3 linked regions of the Drosophila melanogaster genome follow. The protein of the gene in region 1 interacts with the protein of each later gene in a pairwise test. Each region holds a gene or a part of one and is shown on either strand. Other genes may lie near its edges. The genes, in order: COX7C, stc and veil.

Region 1 (4,031 bases):
CAAAGCCCACGACTCCCGCAATTAGGTAAAATAGTGTGAAACGCATTGGACTATCCAAGCCAAAGGGTAAGTTCTGTGAGGGAAATTGTAAGTTCTTAGAATGGTTAGCTGCGTGTTGACCTTGGATTAACTACCGCCCCAGGAGAGCCGCCTGGATATCCACTCCCATAACGCATCAGCGGCCCGCTAAACTTGCCAATGGGTTTACGAAGTGTGGGCCACATGAGTAAATTTTAATCCGTTTGTTGAGACGGGAATAAGAAATTATTTGATTGCTTGCGAGTGAGAAGTTACTCCCAGATTTCTAGCGAACGAATGAAAGTTACTGGCTTTTCGAAAAATTTCCTGACATATATCTTTATAGGCAAGCCTACTTAAGGGAACCCTTAAAACTTCACCATTACTAGAAATATTCCTTCCAGTTGGCAACTTTGCGTGTACATCGGTTTCTGACGTCGTTCTACCAAGTCCATGTTATTTGCGAGCACAGTTTCCATAGTTTAGCCACAAGATATTGATACTAAAAGCTTTAAAAATAAGCGTGGATGCATTTACAAGTGCCAATACCAAACAAACTGTTGTTCCACATAAGCCGTCTTGCCAGCTTTTAAAGAAAACATCCACCAATCGGTTCTACGGTCACGGGTAACTTTATTTCGTTTCCACTTTTTACTTAAATTTAAGCTGTAACACACTGTAATGGCCTGCCGGCCAACTCAGCAGATAACGCTACATCTGAAAAGTGAATATTTATATTAAAATGCAAACCGAATATAACCAATAAACTAACCTTACATTTGTTGTTGCTGTCGCCAGGGGAGCCCCTTACTTCTTGAGCAGTTGGTGCCTGACGATCAGGAAGGGCGATCCGAAGCCCAAGACACAGCCGATGGTGAACAGGGCGGTGATGCGGTACTTGTTCGTCAGCCCGAAGGGAAGATTCTGCATGAGAATGAGGTGTTTTCCGGTGTTAGAATTGATTTTCCTCCCAATCCTATGCGAGTCGTGCAAATTATGTAACCCGCAATGGGCCCATTTTTAGGGACTCACCTCTCCGGGAACTCCACCATGTCCGCTAAAGCGAACCATCGACTGGGAAAAGTTGCGTGCAATCACACTGCTGCGGCCCAACATCTCGCAATTTGACTTATTTGATAATAATTCCAGGAAAATAAAGTTCGCAGTGGGTGCGCAGAATAGAGATGACAAATGGTCGATAGCTGCCGTGCAGCTCTGCTGATTACGTTACGTTAACGTTAATGCGGTTTCTGTTAACTTTGCCTTTGGCTTCACAAAAAATACATTTTATTTAAAAAAAATAAATTTGTAAAATGTAATATAAGAATTTCCTAGGTATCGCTTGACTAACATTTATACGGCTTAAATACTTCGTAAGTATTTCGTTTTTATTTATTTAATATTTTTATAAGTACTGGTGAAAAACGTAGTCATTCCTTCATTGCTGGTACTTACTAGTTCATTTATTAGGTGCAACGTAGGTACTTCAAATACACCACTTGGGCACCCGGTGCACTACATAACTATTTTCAAACCTCAAACCAAATCCCAATCCATTTAAATGTAAATTTTTAAATTCTTAACTGCTTTTAAAAACTATTAAATTTTATTCGTTTCTCTCGAGTGATGTGTCCTTTTTCTAAATGACTGCCATCCGTAATGTCCCGTACACAGCATGCTAAATATAATTAGTAAAAATTTGTTTCATTTTCCTCTTAAATTTTAGAAATATTTTCCCTTTATATAAAATAAATATATATAACAGTGCCGTGTTTTTATTTTAACGTAAATAAAATTTGAATGTTATCTATTTATATATTTATTTGAAATCATTTAAAATTAATAATAATAAAAAGAATTTTACGTTAATTTGCTTCCAACTACGCCCACGCGAATTGTTGTTAATTTATAATAACGAGCGAGTTTGACACGGTATTAGGGGTATTCGATTTTATCTATTCAGGGGCTTAACAGACACTAAGCGCTCTGTTATCTTGTCAAAAACTATCGGCAACTAGGGCCATCGCTGGCCCCATCAAACACGCCGAGCGCTCATCTCTATTGCGTTTCGAATATTTCATTTATACGCACGGGTACGGTAGACTCGATCCAAACAGACAAACGTTCAAAATTATTGCACAAAATTATAAGTAAACACCCCGCGTCCACCCCACCGCCCATATTGGGTACCTCGTGTTTTCGGTGGTTCCCTGAAATACCGGAAAAGTGTCTGTTAATCGTGAAGTTTTCCTAATGAAGCACTGAAACAGAACGACCGACAGCAACAACAACGCAACAGAAAAGAGTGGATAAAGAAAACAGACAGCAAAATGCTAGAACCGCCGAAATTTATAGAGAATGATTGCTACAACGGCAGCCGGACCTTCACTTGGCTGGCGGATATGGTGGGCCTCTCCGTGGACTTGGTGAGTAACACACTATTTACTCCCTGGTTCTTAAGACCCCTCCTCCCCTACCGTTATCTTTCGAAACGGGTGTGTGCACGTGTGCGTGTGTATACGCGTGTTAGTTGTGTGCCAATCATACGGGATAAAAGCCGCTGAGCAAATCTCTCTCTTCCTGAGAACAATGCACTTCTTGAAGGACAGAGCTGGGATTTACTTCTGCCTGAACGGCATATTTTTCCGGGAATTATGCAAAACTTACCTGGCAACGGGAGGTAAATAGATTCCATGCCGGTTGCCCAAACAAAGATTTAGTTTACAGTGAACGATCTATGTATTGAACCTTTTAACATAAGAGACTATCTGAAAATTTATTTATTTAATAATTTAATTTAAATAATTTATTTATTATAATATATAAAAATTGTTTATTTGCAAATCATGAGAAAACAAACTTAAAGCAGTGATATTTTCACAATCACATATAATTATGAATTAGCTTTAGTTGTTTACGTTAATAATAGCGTAAGGCAGCTAATCGCATCTGGCAAGTGCTTTATATTTTACCCACTTTGTAGTTTTTCTAATTTAATTAAGACATCTTGAATTATATGAAGACCTTATCAGCTGACAAGAATTATCTACCAGTGGAATTTTCCAGCCCTCAAGCGGGGTACCGTGAAATTTTGAAATTACTATTGTTGCGGCTGACGCACCGTTGATTTCGCTAAATTTAAAATGCTTTGCATCACTTAATAGTGCGGTGGGTACTAGAGGGGGGCACTGATTAATCTCTTCGCAGAGAGTGTCGCACAGCCACACTTACTTCCCCACTGTCTCCTGTAACCCCCTTTTTGTGCACCATTCATTTGGCGTAATGTAATTTGCATAACTGCAGCTGGCATATAGAAATGTGATTCATAGCAAGGCATTTTCTGGCCCAAATCAAGCGACATACACGTACGTAATCCTCACATTTTTCAATTCTGATGACCTAATGCAAACTTCCGATGTAAGGAAAGCACAACTAACGGAAAATCAGTGTTAGTTCGCCATCGGGCCGTTGTCTCTATCAATAGCCGCACTAAATTCAATTTGGCTTGGTTCAAACTATGAACCTCTCCATCTCAGATAATTGAATTTTTAGCGCTTCTTTTGTTTGCAAACAAATATCAACAGCTTGTCGGTGTGTTGGTTAGCGGATTTCTTGTTATTCCGAATCAGCTGATGTAGACCGCATGAGTCAACCAGTCTGTCGAGCAAAAAACAGTAAACGCAGCAAAAAATAGGTACTTTAGGAGGGTATAGCAATAAAAACATAAACAAAAACACTACATTTATATAATACATTTCACCAATCAGCGATCAAAATGAGTTTTCTTAAGATGTGAATAAGAAATTTAAAAACAAACGTTTACCGGCCTCAGAGTTGACTGTACCTCGTAATGGGGTTTTGTGGATGGGCGACACTTTTTTGGAAATCGCTACGCCCGATATTTGATTTGTTTGTGGCTTTTTATTGCGCTAATTCGAAGCGAAGGCCGCAGCACGCAACTGCGCAAATGCCGGTGAATTGGCCAATTGTTCCGTGGAATCGCCCCATGTTTA
Region 2 (7,080 bases), on another chromosome or scaffold:
TTTCATCTTTATTTTGGCATTATTCCCCAGGCGCCGCTTATTGTTTTTCGTGAAAATGGCAACGGCAATGGCAACAAATTAGAGGCCTGTGCCCATAGCCCGAAACGAGATGGCAACGAGTTCGGCTTGTGGGCAGTCCGGGGGATGTTTGCTAGTTTCCTCGACTACCAGGATGGATCAGCAGGTGGAATATCCCTTGAGCACCTCCACTTGGGTTGTTTTCATTTCCGCGCCACTTTAATTATCTAATGGTGAAGCATGACGTCCTATATATTTATATTTTAAATTTGAAATTATTTCTGTTCTAAGCGAAGTAAATTCCAAAATTACTTCAGTTTGAAACAAGCGACCGTTAAATAACAACGACTTACAGCACTGAATACTGACCACTGTTGAAAGCTAATTGCTGCAACATACAAGACATTGTGTTCCATCGCGACATAAATTTGAAATTAAGTTTATAAGACCTTTTATCCATAATTTCTCCCATGAAATAAATTAATTAAAACAAAAAACACAATAATTGCCCTCTGCTCTATTTACTCATTTATTTATCCTTCTCATCTATCGCTTTCCTTTGTATTTAGATGCAACGTGGCCAGAAGGTTTCGCTTTTGGATAAATTCATCGTACAACAGATTGGTTAACATGATTCTTCACATTTGTGCCTGCTTATCCAGTTCACTCCATATTCAAGTATTCAACATTTAGCATTCTAGGGTTCAACTAACATTTGTTATAATTTACAAAATATACGTGGTAACGGCAATTATCCTTCTGTATTGTCCTCGCAGCGCATCCACAAAATTTTCCTCATTTAGGTTCAATCAATAAGTCTTCCACATCCAGGCTTCCATTTGCATTATCTATCCATTTTTAACTATTATTTTCCAGCGCCAACGATTTAATATATTTAATATCTCTGTATACCACACGGATTTGATCTACTTCTTCAATCCCCAAGCATTGTTACTGGGCACCGGGACACGGCGTTGTCCGGACTCACGAGCCAGCACTTCCATGATGCTCGTGGCGGGGAACCAGCACTGCAAATAGTTAAGCCAAATAAGTACGCGATTCAGTTGGTGTTTTACAAAGTTGAACTCACCCTATCCTTATGGGCCGTGGCAACAACATTGCGATTTGGCTCCTTGTCATAGGAAACCGATTCAATCCCAAATACCTCGCACAACTCGTGCACCAGCTGCCTCTTTTCGCGGTTCATGGTGGGGAAAGAGTGGCTCCTCGACCGTTGCTTGCTTTCCTTGGCCAACTTTACCAGGTCGGTCAACGTCTCGTAAACGCTCTTGGTCAGCGCTGGGTTCTTCTTTGCGAAGCCACGAACAAACTCCGAGTACTTGGTTAGACACTTTTGCTTTGTATCGGAATTTCCAGAAGACAGGGCCGCGGCAAGACGACGATTCCTCTCCAGTAGACGACATTCGTCGTTGCAATCCAAACTAAAGACAAAATGTTACGTATATTAATACTAGTGAAAACTTAAATTCGGCTGAATAGACACCACCACTCACGTTTTATTAGATTTCTTGGCTGGAGCCAAGATTTCGCTGAGCTCCATGTAGTTGCCGCGTGACATCTCTGCCATGGACGAGGCCAGCTGGATGGTGGCTATACGACTGTGCTCCCTGGCTAGTTCCTGGCAGCTGCGGTTCTGCTTTCGGTTGCCGCACTCGCACTGCACCTCCACCAGCTCCTTGCAAGGCGTTTCCGGACAGGCTCCCTCGTGACAGGCAGCTGCACACTTATGACCACAGGTCGGTCGTGGCTTGGTGCAGCTCTGCCGGCATATCTCGCCGGCAGACTGACAGGGGCCCTCGTGACACGGCTTTATACACTTGTGCCCGCCACACGGCAACGGCTTGCCACAGGCCATGCCACAGCTAAAGTTGGGCTGCGAGCAGGGAATGGTCTTGCGCAGCTCGTGGTTGCCGTGACACAATTTCGTCGTGAAAATCATGCAGGGCGGACAGGTGGGGCCCGAATGGCAGTTGTGCTGCGGCGGATGATCGCATGGATGAATGCGCGAGCAAGGAAGCTTGCAGATTGGCTTCTTGGTGCCACACGGCACTGGTGGATAGATCACTTCGGCACCACACTCGCAATAGAGCTCTTCGAAACTGCTGCGGTAGCATGGCGGACAATTGCCGCGGTGACACGGCTGATCGCACTTGTGTTTGCCACAACTGAGGGTTCGATTACATGGCAGTGGACAGTCGTGGTCTATATCGATGCAGCACTCAACGTTGCACTTGTGCTTTCCACAGCTGCGCTTCTTGGTGCAACGTCGCTTGCAGCGGGCGTCGTCCGCTCTGTTACATAGCTGCCGACACTTTATCATTTGGTCCATGTGGCCGCAACGACACTTTACACCGGTCTGCTTGGGACATGGAGGGCACTGGCCCAAGTGACATTTGCTTCCGCATTGATGCGGATGCGCTGGCTTTCCACAACGTAATGTCCTAGAGCAGATGCCCTCGCATGTGGGAATCGGGTCCAGGCAGCTTGAACGCTGGCCAGCCGGTACAGGCATTTTGCCACAAGGACAACTTGTTATCTGCTCGGGACTCAGCTTGCAGGGTCTGAAAAGAATCATATTATCAGTTTAATTGTATGAGTTTCTTAGTACTCTGCACAAAGACACGATTGCAAACGCTGAATAATTTAGCATAAAATTGGTTCATACCAAATTCAATTCTGATGTTTTGTGTTAATGTTAATGCACATATTTTAGAAACCTAACACAATTTTCGAGTTTGAGCCGTTTTTTGGGGTTATTGGTTTAAATGAAACCAATACTATAAATGAGTTGAATCAGTTATTCTTACCTACAACTTCCCGCGTGGCAGGAGTCCTTGCACTTGTGGTGGCCGCAGGGAAGCGGTTGACCGCAGCTGTCCTTGCACGAATAGGTGCGTTTGTCCTGCGATTCTCGCGTGCATGGCACCTTGCGCTCCTGCTTGCCGCAGTGGCACTGCTGCACCACTTGCTCGGAACACGCCGCGCACTTGCCCGAGTGGCACTCCGCCTGGCAGCGATGCTCGCCACAGTTAAGCAGCTTGTCGCAGATCTCGCCGCAGAGCACCTCTTCCTTCATGGCGCACTGCATCGTTTTTGTGCTGCGTCCACATCCACAGCTGCGCACCACGTTGGCCTGGCACGGCGGACAAGGGCCTGGGTGACAGAGCAGAGTGCAGGCATGGCTACAACCCTCAATTCGGCAGCAGACCTCGCCACAGCTGTGGGCCAATTCGGTCCGTGATACCGGCGGGTTTTTCAGTTTGCCGCAAAAGCAGAGATAGTCGCGTGGCAAATCCTGCAGCACATTCTGGCAAGCTGGACAACGCCAGCCCACCTCGGACTTGGAGCTACTCGCCCAGGTGATGGTGCACTTAAGGTGCAGCATGTGATAGCAGTTCCTGCACGACCAGGTTGGCTGGTGCGACTTGATCGCCTCCACGCATACAAGGCACTCCAATCGGCGCTGTTCGATGTCGCGAACCAGTTTCTCTCGCTGCGATAGTTTTTCGTTATCCGCCGGTGGTAGCGGTGGACCTCGCCTTGGGGAGATTTGCTGCAGTTGCGACTGCTTTTCGGGCGATGGGTGTGCGCTCTCATTGCTCGTGTCCAAATCGTCAACGGCCCTGGGAAAGCCGTTGATGCGGTCCCTGTTGCGATTCCAGTCATCCCTGCGTTTGTTGCTGCGATGATTGTCGTAGCGTTGCTGCTTCTGCGGCCTCCTACGATCGCTTCTTTCGTACCGGTCCTCCCGATCGTCCCGATAGTCGGAGCGGCGTTGTTGTCGCGTATTTCCGGGTCTAGAGTCCCTGTCCCTGTCCCGGTCTCTGTCCCGGTCTCTGTCCCTGTCTCTGTCCCGGTCTCTTTCCCTGTCCCGGTCCCGGTCACGTTCCCGCTCACGCTCCCGTTCGTAATTATGGTTCGAGCATTGGTTGTTAGCTCCTCGTTCAGCTGGTTCTTGGGCTCGCAGAGTCCTAGGTCTCGTCTCATTTATGGCAGTCTCTAGGCTGGCAGTGCTGTTTCCGTTCGTAGTGGCGGCTGCCGGTGTCTCTTCTAGACTCAGCTTGGCGAAATTGGGCACGAATTCCGGAGCCGAGGCCTGCAGCTTGGAAGCGCTGAAGTCAAACGGATTATTGCCAAAAGGTGTGTAAAAACTCGAAAAATTGCTGTTGCTCGGATTGACCGACCCATAGCTGCTGGTGACGGTGACTCTAGCGATGCCATCGCCATTTTGATAGGTTGGGATCATGGCCTGCGAGTAAAACTGTTTTGTGATTTATTAGTTGATTCATTAGGACTAAACCTAAGTTCTAATATATCGAAACATACATTCGGAGATTGATGACTCACATTTGCAAAGTGGCTGGTACTCGCGGATGCCACTGGTGGGTTCAGTCCAAAGGCTCCTCCACCGCCGCCCAGGGAGAAGTTAGTGTAGCTGCTGCCCACCGGATGTTGCATAGTGCTGGTGGCATTCGAGGGCGCTCCTCCACCCAGATTGTGCTGCATAATGAACTGATTGAAGTTCACGTAATTGTTGTTGCTGTGCCTGTTGCAGGAACCACCCACTGCCGCCGATTCGTGACCTCCGTTGCAGTCTGCCATGGCGGATGACTCATTGCCGGGTCCCGCTTCTCCGGCGCCGTTGGTCAACTGCTGCCAGTACTCAGCCATTGAGAGTCCGGTGCTGTCGTTGGTGACCAGCGTCTGTTGCAGTTGCGCCTGCTTCTTTGCCGGAACAATCTCGAACTGCCCGCCGTCCTCTGCTGGGCATTTCCCAGCGCTACCACGGGATCGTCCGCAATCCGAGGAGGAGGTGACCGAACCCAGGAAAAGCTCCAGACACGTGTGCAATGGTGAAATTGAGCCCAATGCAGAAGTTAACCGAATCGAATTCTCAGTTCGATCGAATTTGGTAAAGGCTTTCTACGGCCAACTGGACGCACCGCAGCCTGGGTCCGCAGGCACGTTTTACTGATTTTTTTGCGCTTTTCCTGCGTTTTTTATGCTCGCTTATATTGTAAATTTCTAACAAAATTTCACAACACGGTCATACCAGACGAAACGGTACCACTGACAATTGCCTTGACTTATCGATATATTAACAGACTTTCGATTTTTGAGGGGAAAAGGGCTGCCAACTCGGTTTTAGGACAGCTGTGAATACAATTTAACAGCAAGATTTCGTTTAGTTACTCAACACACCTACAGTGGTAATAAACTATCAGGTGGCGCCATCTGGCTGAGTGAGAGCGCACTTTTAAATATGTTAAATGTACTGCAACGGTTCGTTCATTTGTTTACTAAAAAAACATACATCTTTTAATTTTTGTCACTAGAAGATTTGAATTAAATAAGGCTGCGTTATCTGATTATAAGCGAAATTACCTAGTTGGACTCCCAATCATATCTCCAATCCAAAATATTATTTCTAGAATCCTGGAATCCTTTTGTATTTGATATTATACTTTATTGACTGGCCAATATATATGCCTATTTTAATAATAATTAATGTCTATTCCTAATTTAATTTCTAGCAAAATTATTGCTTGAAAATAAATGTAAATTGAATAACAACAGTGGAAGTACTGCACTTTGTAATTGCCACAAATTTGGTTGAAACTGGCCGGGCACAACGATTCCACCCATTTAGAATGTCCTGAGATTGCTGAGAAGGGTTTGCTGACTCGGCGGTTGGGATGGACCAGATCCAGGTGTTAGAACTCCAGGAGGTGGCGGCATTTGAAATGTTTGAGCCATGGCCATGGCCAAAGTGGGCGGTGGACCTGTTTGTTGTTTTCCCGGTACTGGAAGTGCGGATGATGTGACCGTGAGTCCATCCAACGGACGGTACTGACACTTCTTAGCGTGGGTTCGCATATTGCTCGACTGGGTGAATGCCTGATTGCAGTTGGGATGTGGGCAGACATACGGCTTGCAGCCTGTATGGTAATTCAGATGCGTCTTTAGGTGATGCTTTTTGGTGAAGGCTTTGGGGCACAGGGGGCAGCTGAAGGGCTTGATTCCCGAGTGGAGGCGATGGTGCAGGGTCATGTTGCTGCGATCGGCAAAGGACTTGCCGCACACGGAGCACTGATACGGTTTCTCACCACTGTGCGTCCTCATGTGCTGTTTGAGCAGCATTTTACGCGAAAATCTCTTTCCGCACTCGTTGCATTTGTGGGGTTTCACGCCGGTATGAATCCGGACATGCATATTGAAGGCCACACGCTGATTGAACGATTTGGGACAGTAAGGACACTCGTACTCCTTCCGGTTCCGGTGAATCTTTAGGTGACTGCTCAAATATCCCTTATCGTTGAATGTCTTGCCACATTCGGGACACTCGGCGGCAAACTCCTTGGTTCCTCGGTGAACGGACAGGTGATATTTGTAATTTCGCAGCTGGGAGAAACCCTTTCCACAATCCGCACACTCGTAACGCGGCGATTTGTGCGTCTTTTCATGAGCCTGAAATAAGAACATAATAGACAAATAAGATAAATAAATAAGATACATTAGCTTAGCAATAGTAATATTGTAGCAATAGTAAGAGATTTAAAATTTTAATAAAAAACCTGAGGTAGTGAAAATCTGTTGTGAAATTCATAAAACAGCGATTTTCTACAAACTGTTCGTTAGTTAGTTAGTTTTTGGAAGGGAGGCTTTCAAGATGAGTATGTTTAGCAACATTTTAATTAGGTCCTAATATTAATACCTTATTCTATAAGTTCTAGTGAGGATTGGAAGATTTCGAATATAAAGTTACTGAAAACTGAGCTTTGGACACATTTATACTTATACAAAATAAGCCAGAAATGCAAAAAATACCATGGTTACACATTCGAATGTTCCCCATTGTTTGTAATAATTTTGTTGCAACTTCAAATGTGGCTTGCTTCAGTTAGCTACTGAAATTGGTGTTCTTTCCCAAAGTGGCCATTTTGTGATTACCTCTCGCTCGGCGTCTGGCCCTTTCTAACGTATCTTGTAGCTGCACCCATGCGTAAAACCAGTTCTCTCTTTTTTGCCCGCTTCTGTTTC
Region 3 (6,360 bases), 7.4 Mb from region 1:
CGGTTGGAAAACAGAGGTAAAATTAGTTGGACAACATAGGCTGAGACATTACAGTGATTTTCTGTTGCAGGTGCATTGAGACCGATCTGCATTCTGGAAACTGCAAACATCGCTGGTTCTTTAAGAATCACTGGCACAGGTCAATATGGCTTAAGCAATTACGTTATAAATGTGCAAAGCCTTAATTGGCAGTTGTGTGAACTTGAGTTGAGGAGAAATATCGAACAGAATCAGTTTTGTGTGAAAAACACTTTCCAACCAAATGCGCTTAAGCAATTTGGTACAGCTGGCGATATATTGGTTAAAAAAATATTGAATGTTTCGGGCATGGTCCATTTCGTTCTATTGGGCTTGGTAGACGTTTCGCACAATGACGTATACGTAATAACCAGTGCTATGGCAAATGCAGAATGGATCTCGAAAATAGTAAATCAGAATGAATAGGGTATCTGGATTATCGGGCGATTTAATCGAAAACTACACAAGCAGTAAATAAATTTAAACACAATATCATTTCAGTTCTCACAACATTTATTAGCTATTTAGTTTAAGTTTGTGTGTGAAACAAGCATATATTATATTAATTAAGGGCAAACTTATCACCAATCACACTTGACTCTTTAAGTCGAAAAAATGCAATCGCATTAATAAGCTTATTTATGAATTGGGGTTCTGAAATGAGAAGCTGAAAGTGCCACTAGATGAATCTAGTTAGCAGGGAAGAGAGCAGAAGCAAGGAGATGGAGGCCACAATACCAGACGCCGATCCGGTGTCAGCCTTCTCGTGAATCACAATTCGTTCCTCGATCTCGGGATACACGAAATGGCGCTGCTTCAGGTACTCCATGGTAGCATTCAGATCGTTTCGCTGCATGCTCTCGGTGAAGGGATCCGACTCCTCGATCAGAGTGTAGCCATCGCCGCCTTCCAGCAGGAACTGGGGCACGATCACTTGGTACAGGGCCGTCTCATTGATGCTCTTGTACGTGGGCACGGCGCAGCTGGCGCATAGGGCCTGTGCGGAAACCACTCGCTTGCCCTGCTCATTGTTGTAGTTGTACACCACACGCAGTCCGGACATCTGCAGGAATCCACCATTGGAGTCCTGCAACCTCACAGACGCGGAGTGTTCCAGGGCAGCCAGAAGGGTGCTTCCGAGAATCCTTGTCACGTACAGATTATTCTCGAACGGAAGAACGGCTAAGAGGGTGGCGCCATTGATGACTCCATCATCCTTCTTATCGACGGAGCCACGGATTCCTATAAAATATGTAGATCCACGTAATTTCGAATTTCTCTAATGACACCAAATAAAACACACCTCCTCCCTGCATAAAAGCAATCGCAGTATCTGTCCAGAATTCGCCGCCCTTGTTTTCCAACACGCGACTATAGATCATGGCATCTGTCACCAAGTTGCCAAGGTTGCACTCCCTCATGCGGCAGATGTTGCCGCCCTCGAGAAACACCTTAGTGTAACCCAGAACCGTGTTCTCCAGCTCGTCCAGCTTGGGGCGGTATTCGTCTAGCAAATCCAGGAGATCCTGCTCCTGAGCTACAGAGGCATTCAGCAAAATGGGAGCGCCATCAAACTCGATCAGATTTCCCTCGGCATCAAACTGGAAATATTCGTATTACAATTATATTCAAATTTCTTTAATAATAATCCAGATAATATATAGTGCTTACCTGAACATGAATCTTTCCGAGATACTTGGTATACGCGTATGCCTGAACCACTGGTACCTTCTTGCCGCTCGCCTGCACCACTGTGGTGGGATAGGGACCTCGAACCGCCTCCGGATCAGAGTCCGTGGGATCGGCCACCGGCTGATTGGCATCTAAGAATGTGTGCGAATGGCCACCAATGACTATGTCCACCTCCGGGCAGTTCATGGCTATCTCCTGATCCTTTTGGTATCCAGAGTGACCCAAAGCGATGATGATATTGATGCCTTGAGCCTTTAGCTTTGCGGCCTCCGCACTGCGGAATAAATGAACATGCATTAACATCCTTGCTCTCCAGCGGATTTGAGCTATACCCACTTGATGGACACGATTTCCTCCTCGTACTCCACTTTGTTCCGAAAGGCAAGCACCTTGGTATCGGGCGTAAGGTAACCGATAACGCCAACCTTCACCCCATTTCTCTCGAGGATCGTCGAGTTGGCCAGCTGCTTGGCAGCCGCCATTTCCGGAACATCGGTGAGGTTCAGATTACAGGCCAAAACAGGGAATTCCACGGCATTTAGGAAGGGCACCAAACCCTCAACATTCTGATCAAACTCATGGTTGCCCAGAGACTATTGAAAGGTATATTGATGAAATATAGTAAGAGAATGCGGAAAACAATAAAATAATAGTTACAATAGCATCTGGCGATAGCTTGTTGAGGAAAGCACTGGCGATCTTGTCCTTATAGACGGTGAACCAAGCAGTTCCGGTATAGGTGTCACCTGCATTGAGATAAAACACTGGAGTTCCACCCTCCTCCGCCTCCTTGCGATACTTTCGCACCCTAGTTGAAGTTCATCAGCATGAATAGTTGAACTCTAGGCAAACTGACCGCACTTACTCGTATGCCACCCTGGCGAATCCTCCGTAGCACTGATCCGTATTGGCCTCCTCCTTGGAGCAGGTGCCACTGGTCACACTCGTCTGCTCGAATCGGGCGTGCATGTCATTGTTGTGCAGAATGATGAACTCGGCGGCAACTTCCGCCCGGGGTGCAATGGGATTCGGCTGCACAGGATGAATCAGTAGAGCCAGTAGGCAGCATGATCCGATAAGGAGACCACGGGCAGGTAACATTTTGGTGCTGGAACAATAAACACAACAATCGCTGATAAGTTATCACACACGAAGGGATGAAATGTGGGTGGATAATCTTCGGTGAATAAGCACTGATTCGCGCACGGCAACTGGTTTGTCATAATCATTGTTTTTGCACTCATGAAAATCTAAAAATTTTAATAAAAAATTAATGCACTGCCACTTAATGAAGCGTGTTTTAAGTATTAGTTCGTTTTCTTATCCGAATGGTTTTACACATGTAATGGAAACACTTCAAACGTTGTTAACCAGATTTTCTACTTAGACTGTTGAAGGTCCTTTTCGACCTTATCACCAATCCACTGCTGAGAGGCAAATATTTATCAATCACGAGCGCGCAGAAATCGCAATTTATAGTTTATTGGGTGTTTTAAATCTAATCGCCGCTTATCACTTTGCGTGTGCAAAAAAAAAACACACAAATCCCCAGCACATTCTGCTCGACAAATTTCTGCCATCGCGGTCCACTTCACTCGGTCAACTGGTTTTCGATTGAACTCGGAAACGAGCTCGAACTTCAGCTTGCTCATGGCATTGGCCTAAAAGCTAACTCGGCTCAAAAAGGCCCGATCGATGTTACTTCAGAAGCAACGAATTACCAAATACCAACGATCGCTACTCACATGCACTCGTCGCACGGTCCGCGGGCTAACTGACTGACCCACCAAATTGGCTGAGAGTGCGAGAACCGTTATTAGCCGAAAACATAAAGCCGAGTACCTTAAACAGCAAAACCGAAATTTACTGCCTCGCGAAGCGGACTGATTACGATAAGGCCTCGTATTGCGATTGCGGGTTAAATTGGCTGAGAATGACAATGCGATGCTCTTTCTGCATTACCCCATTGTATTTCGATGTTTTGGAAGCCATCGGAAGCAGACATATCGCGCGATAATCGTCGGTTATAGATCAGATAATGGTGAATTGGCTATATATTTATCTGACTCATAGCCACTCAGACAGAGGCAGGTAGTTGGCCCAACAGTTGTCTAAACACAACGTGACATTCCCACGCCGAAATATGGATTGTACTAAAAAATATATACAGTGCACGCTCGCTACGGAGAATTTACATTCGGCGTAACTCTAGCATCAAACAGCATTTACTTGTAAGTGATCTAAACACATGAATCAAAGATCACGCATTCGAAAGGATATTTTTGGAATATCTATATCTGTAATTAATATTTGCACTTTTGTTTCATAGTAAAACATTTTCACTGTCACGAAATTATATGCAACATGGTTGCTTACCTATATTTAGAGTATTTACTGTACATGTTTATTGACGCACCATTAACAACAGTCCGCCGATTGTGCCGAGTAAGCCGATCTTTGTTATTAATTTCCCGAAAATTCCAAGCAAGTGTCTTCTGCGAACTTTCAGGCACATTCGATTGATGAACAATGAGGCCTGCTTGTTGCACAGATTTATGGCCGCCAAAATGGAAGGATAGATAAATATTGGAAAGATGAATTTCACTCAACAGCCGCGTAAATTACTTTATGAGTTTACTGCGAAGTTCTACCCACACGAAATGATCACAATTGCCGGGTTTTGGGCCACAGTTCATCCCCAAATTATCCGCTGCCACTTGTCGCGTGCTTCTCAAACTGTTCAATCATATAGTATGTATAATGGCTCAATAGACACACGACAGCTGCGGCTGTGGATAATGTATTTGCTATTTACTATTTGCTGCCTGTGTTCGGGCAAATAACTCAAAAACGAAAGGGAAAGGTACAACTTTCCTGCTCGAGATGTCGCCTAAATATATCCGAAAGATACAAGATACAACAGCAATTGAGTTGGTTCGAAAATAAATAGAAGATGCTTCGGCCAAGTTTAACTGAAATGGGGAGAGGAAAACCAGCACGCAATATTACACAATGTCAAGTGTACGATAAAAATGAGATAAAAATAATATATATGATTCAATTTTGATACGCCCTTAACAACATCAAGTGCTTATCAAGTAAATAATGTGTACACACACCATTGCCGACATACTAAATGCAAATATCCAATCCATCCATATCATAAGTTCACAGACTTGACGTCTGGGCGTGATTATTTAAATGCCCCTTCCGAAATTGCGAAACAACAATTCGCTGAGATAGTGTCAAATTCGCAGCCCCAAATAAATCGAATAATGCCCAATTTCCTTGACCATAAATAAACATTTATTGCTATCAATGAGATTGTTTCTTTTTTTTTTTCTTGGGACAGGAGATTCTTCATTTATGGTGTCATCTTATATTTCAGCACTCCCCCCTTCCCCCTTCCAACAAACCCAAAATATAAATCCCTTTATTTTAAATTATGGTCATGATTACACAATGCGCGGACATAAACCATAAAGCGAATTATGTTCATTCCAAATTTTGACAGCATTATCGATTAGCATTTTGGGACCACTCCACCTTTACTACGTTAACAATCGGCAATAAAGCCGATAAGAATTGGTTCTCCATGCCAACGGAGGTAAACGTGATTTCGTTCAAACTAACTCATACCGCATACCAATTTCCATGACAACGAAATTCGAAAATTTCTCGCAGTGCTTTTAGGTGTGCACTTATCATTGCAGTGGCAGGTCAAACTAACTCGCAGGGGAAGTGCCGATCGAAGAGATGAATGTGAAGCGTGCCAGCTGCAAATGCTTATCATGGTCGGGCATACCGCACTGGGGAATCTCCTACAAATATGCACATTAAACGAATTTTGTATGCAAATACGAAAATCTATATTCGTAAAGAAGCATCGTGATCAAAGTTCAAGTGATCAAAGTTCACAAACAAAATTTTAGGTAGCTTATTGGTAGAATACAATGCTTAACGGATACGTTAAATATTACCTAAATAGCTTAACTGTCTAACCTGAATAACTTATTCTTTAAGTGCGTCAGCAGTGCACGTTTTGCCAAGAAAAGCAATTTAAGCAATTACATATATCGGTCGTTGTTCGCTAAAACCAGATCGAAACTCATTTGAAATCAACTGAATTAAAAGTCCAGATTCGTTTATTTGTAGCAATTAAGTTAATTCGTCATTAAATTGACAACTTATACATTCAAAAAAAATTCATGAAAATTTATACGCTCAAAACTTGATTACCCAAGATTGTAAGGTATTGATAATTTATTTATGTCTGCTTTAAAATGTAAAAAAAAGAAAATTTGATTAAAATGCTTTATTTTCGCACACACCCTTCAATGCAACCCTATTAAAAAAAAGGACATAGGAAGGTAACTTGGGAATCGGCTATGCCGCACCGAAAGGAAACGGACACGGGACAACAACAACTGAAAGGTCGGAAAGGACGAGCAGGGCGCGCCTGTGATCCCGGGGGGATGGGGTGCAGGACGGATGCACGGAGGAAGGGAGGATATTCGGAGCGCGGCTGCTGCAGCGGCAGAGAAAGAGAGAGAGAGAGAGAGATAGAGAGAGAGAGAGAGAGAGGTAGAGAGAGAGGCAGCGCCAGCTGAGGGTTGCAATATCCTGCTGCTGCCGTTCAGGCTGTGGCCT

What was found.
Region 2: the proteins of COX7C (region 1) and stc interact in a two-hybrid assay, tested with the Drosophila melanogaster proteins (one large-scale study listed by BioGRID).
Region 3: the proteins of COX7C (region 1) and veil interact in a two-hybrid assay, tested with the Drosophila melanogaster proteins (one large-scale study listed by BioGRID).

What each region holds. Positions count from the first base shown.
Region 1 is NT_033778.4:10,046,664-10,050,694, reverse strand, and holds COX7C (cytochrome c oxidase subunit 7C), read right to left. Parts: upstream 2,343-4,031; 5' UTR 2,209-2,342; exon of another isoform or gene 2,076-2,208; intron 1,697-2,075; exon of another isoform or gene 1,474-1,696; intron 1,288-1,473; 5' UTR 1,135-1,287; coding exon 1,051-1,134; intron 943-1,050; coding exon 826-942; 3' UTR 796-825; exon of another isoform or gene 791-795; intron 736-790; 3' UTR 629-735; downstream 1-628. Other genes in the region: COX7CL (cytochrome c oxidase subunit 7C-like), read right to left, coding at 1-73, 135-224; oys (oysgedart), read left to right, coding at 2,349-2,444.
Region 2 is NT_033779.5:15,111,520-15,118,599, reverse strand, and holds stc (shuttle craft), read right to left. Parts: upstream 5,121-7,080; 5' UTR 4,711-5,120; coding exon 4,366-4,710; intron 4,301-4,365; coding exon 2,847-4,300; intron 2,601-2,846; coding exon 1,533-2,600; intron 1,461-1,532; coding exon 1,109-1,460; intron 1,047-1,108; coding exon 945-1,046; 3' UTR 531-944; downstream 1-530. Other genes in the region: CG15269 (uncharacterized protein), read right to left, coding at 5,686-6,507. UniProt on the Drosophila melanogaster protein: Plays an essential role during the late stages of embryonic neurogenesis.
Region 3 is NT_033778.4:17,476,275-17,482,634, reverse strand, and holds veil (veil), read right to left. Parts: upstream 4,478-6,360; 5' UTR 4,366-4,477; exon of another isoform or gene 4,247-4,365; 5' UTR 4,127-4,246; exon of another isoform or gene 2,819-4,126; 5' UTR 2,812-2,818; coding exon 2,576-2,811; exon of another isoform or gene 2,519-2,575; coding exon 2,368-2,518; exon of another isoform or gene 2,304-2,367; coding exon 2,047-2,303; exon of another isoform or gene 1,985-2,046; coding exon 1,690-1,984; exon of another isoform or gene 1,620-1,689; coding exon 1,322-1,619; exon of another isoform or gene 1,261-1,321; coding exon 698-1,260; 3' UTR 517-697; downstream 1-516. Other genes in the region: CG43110 (uncharacterized protein), read left to right, coding at 1-16, 71-444.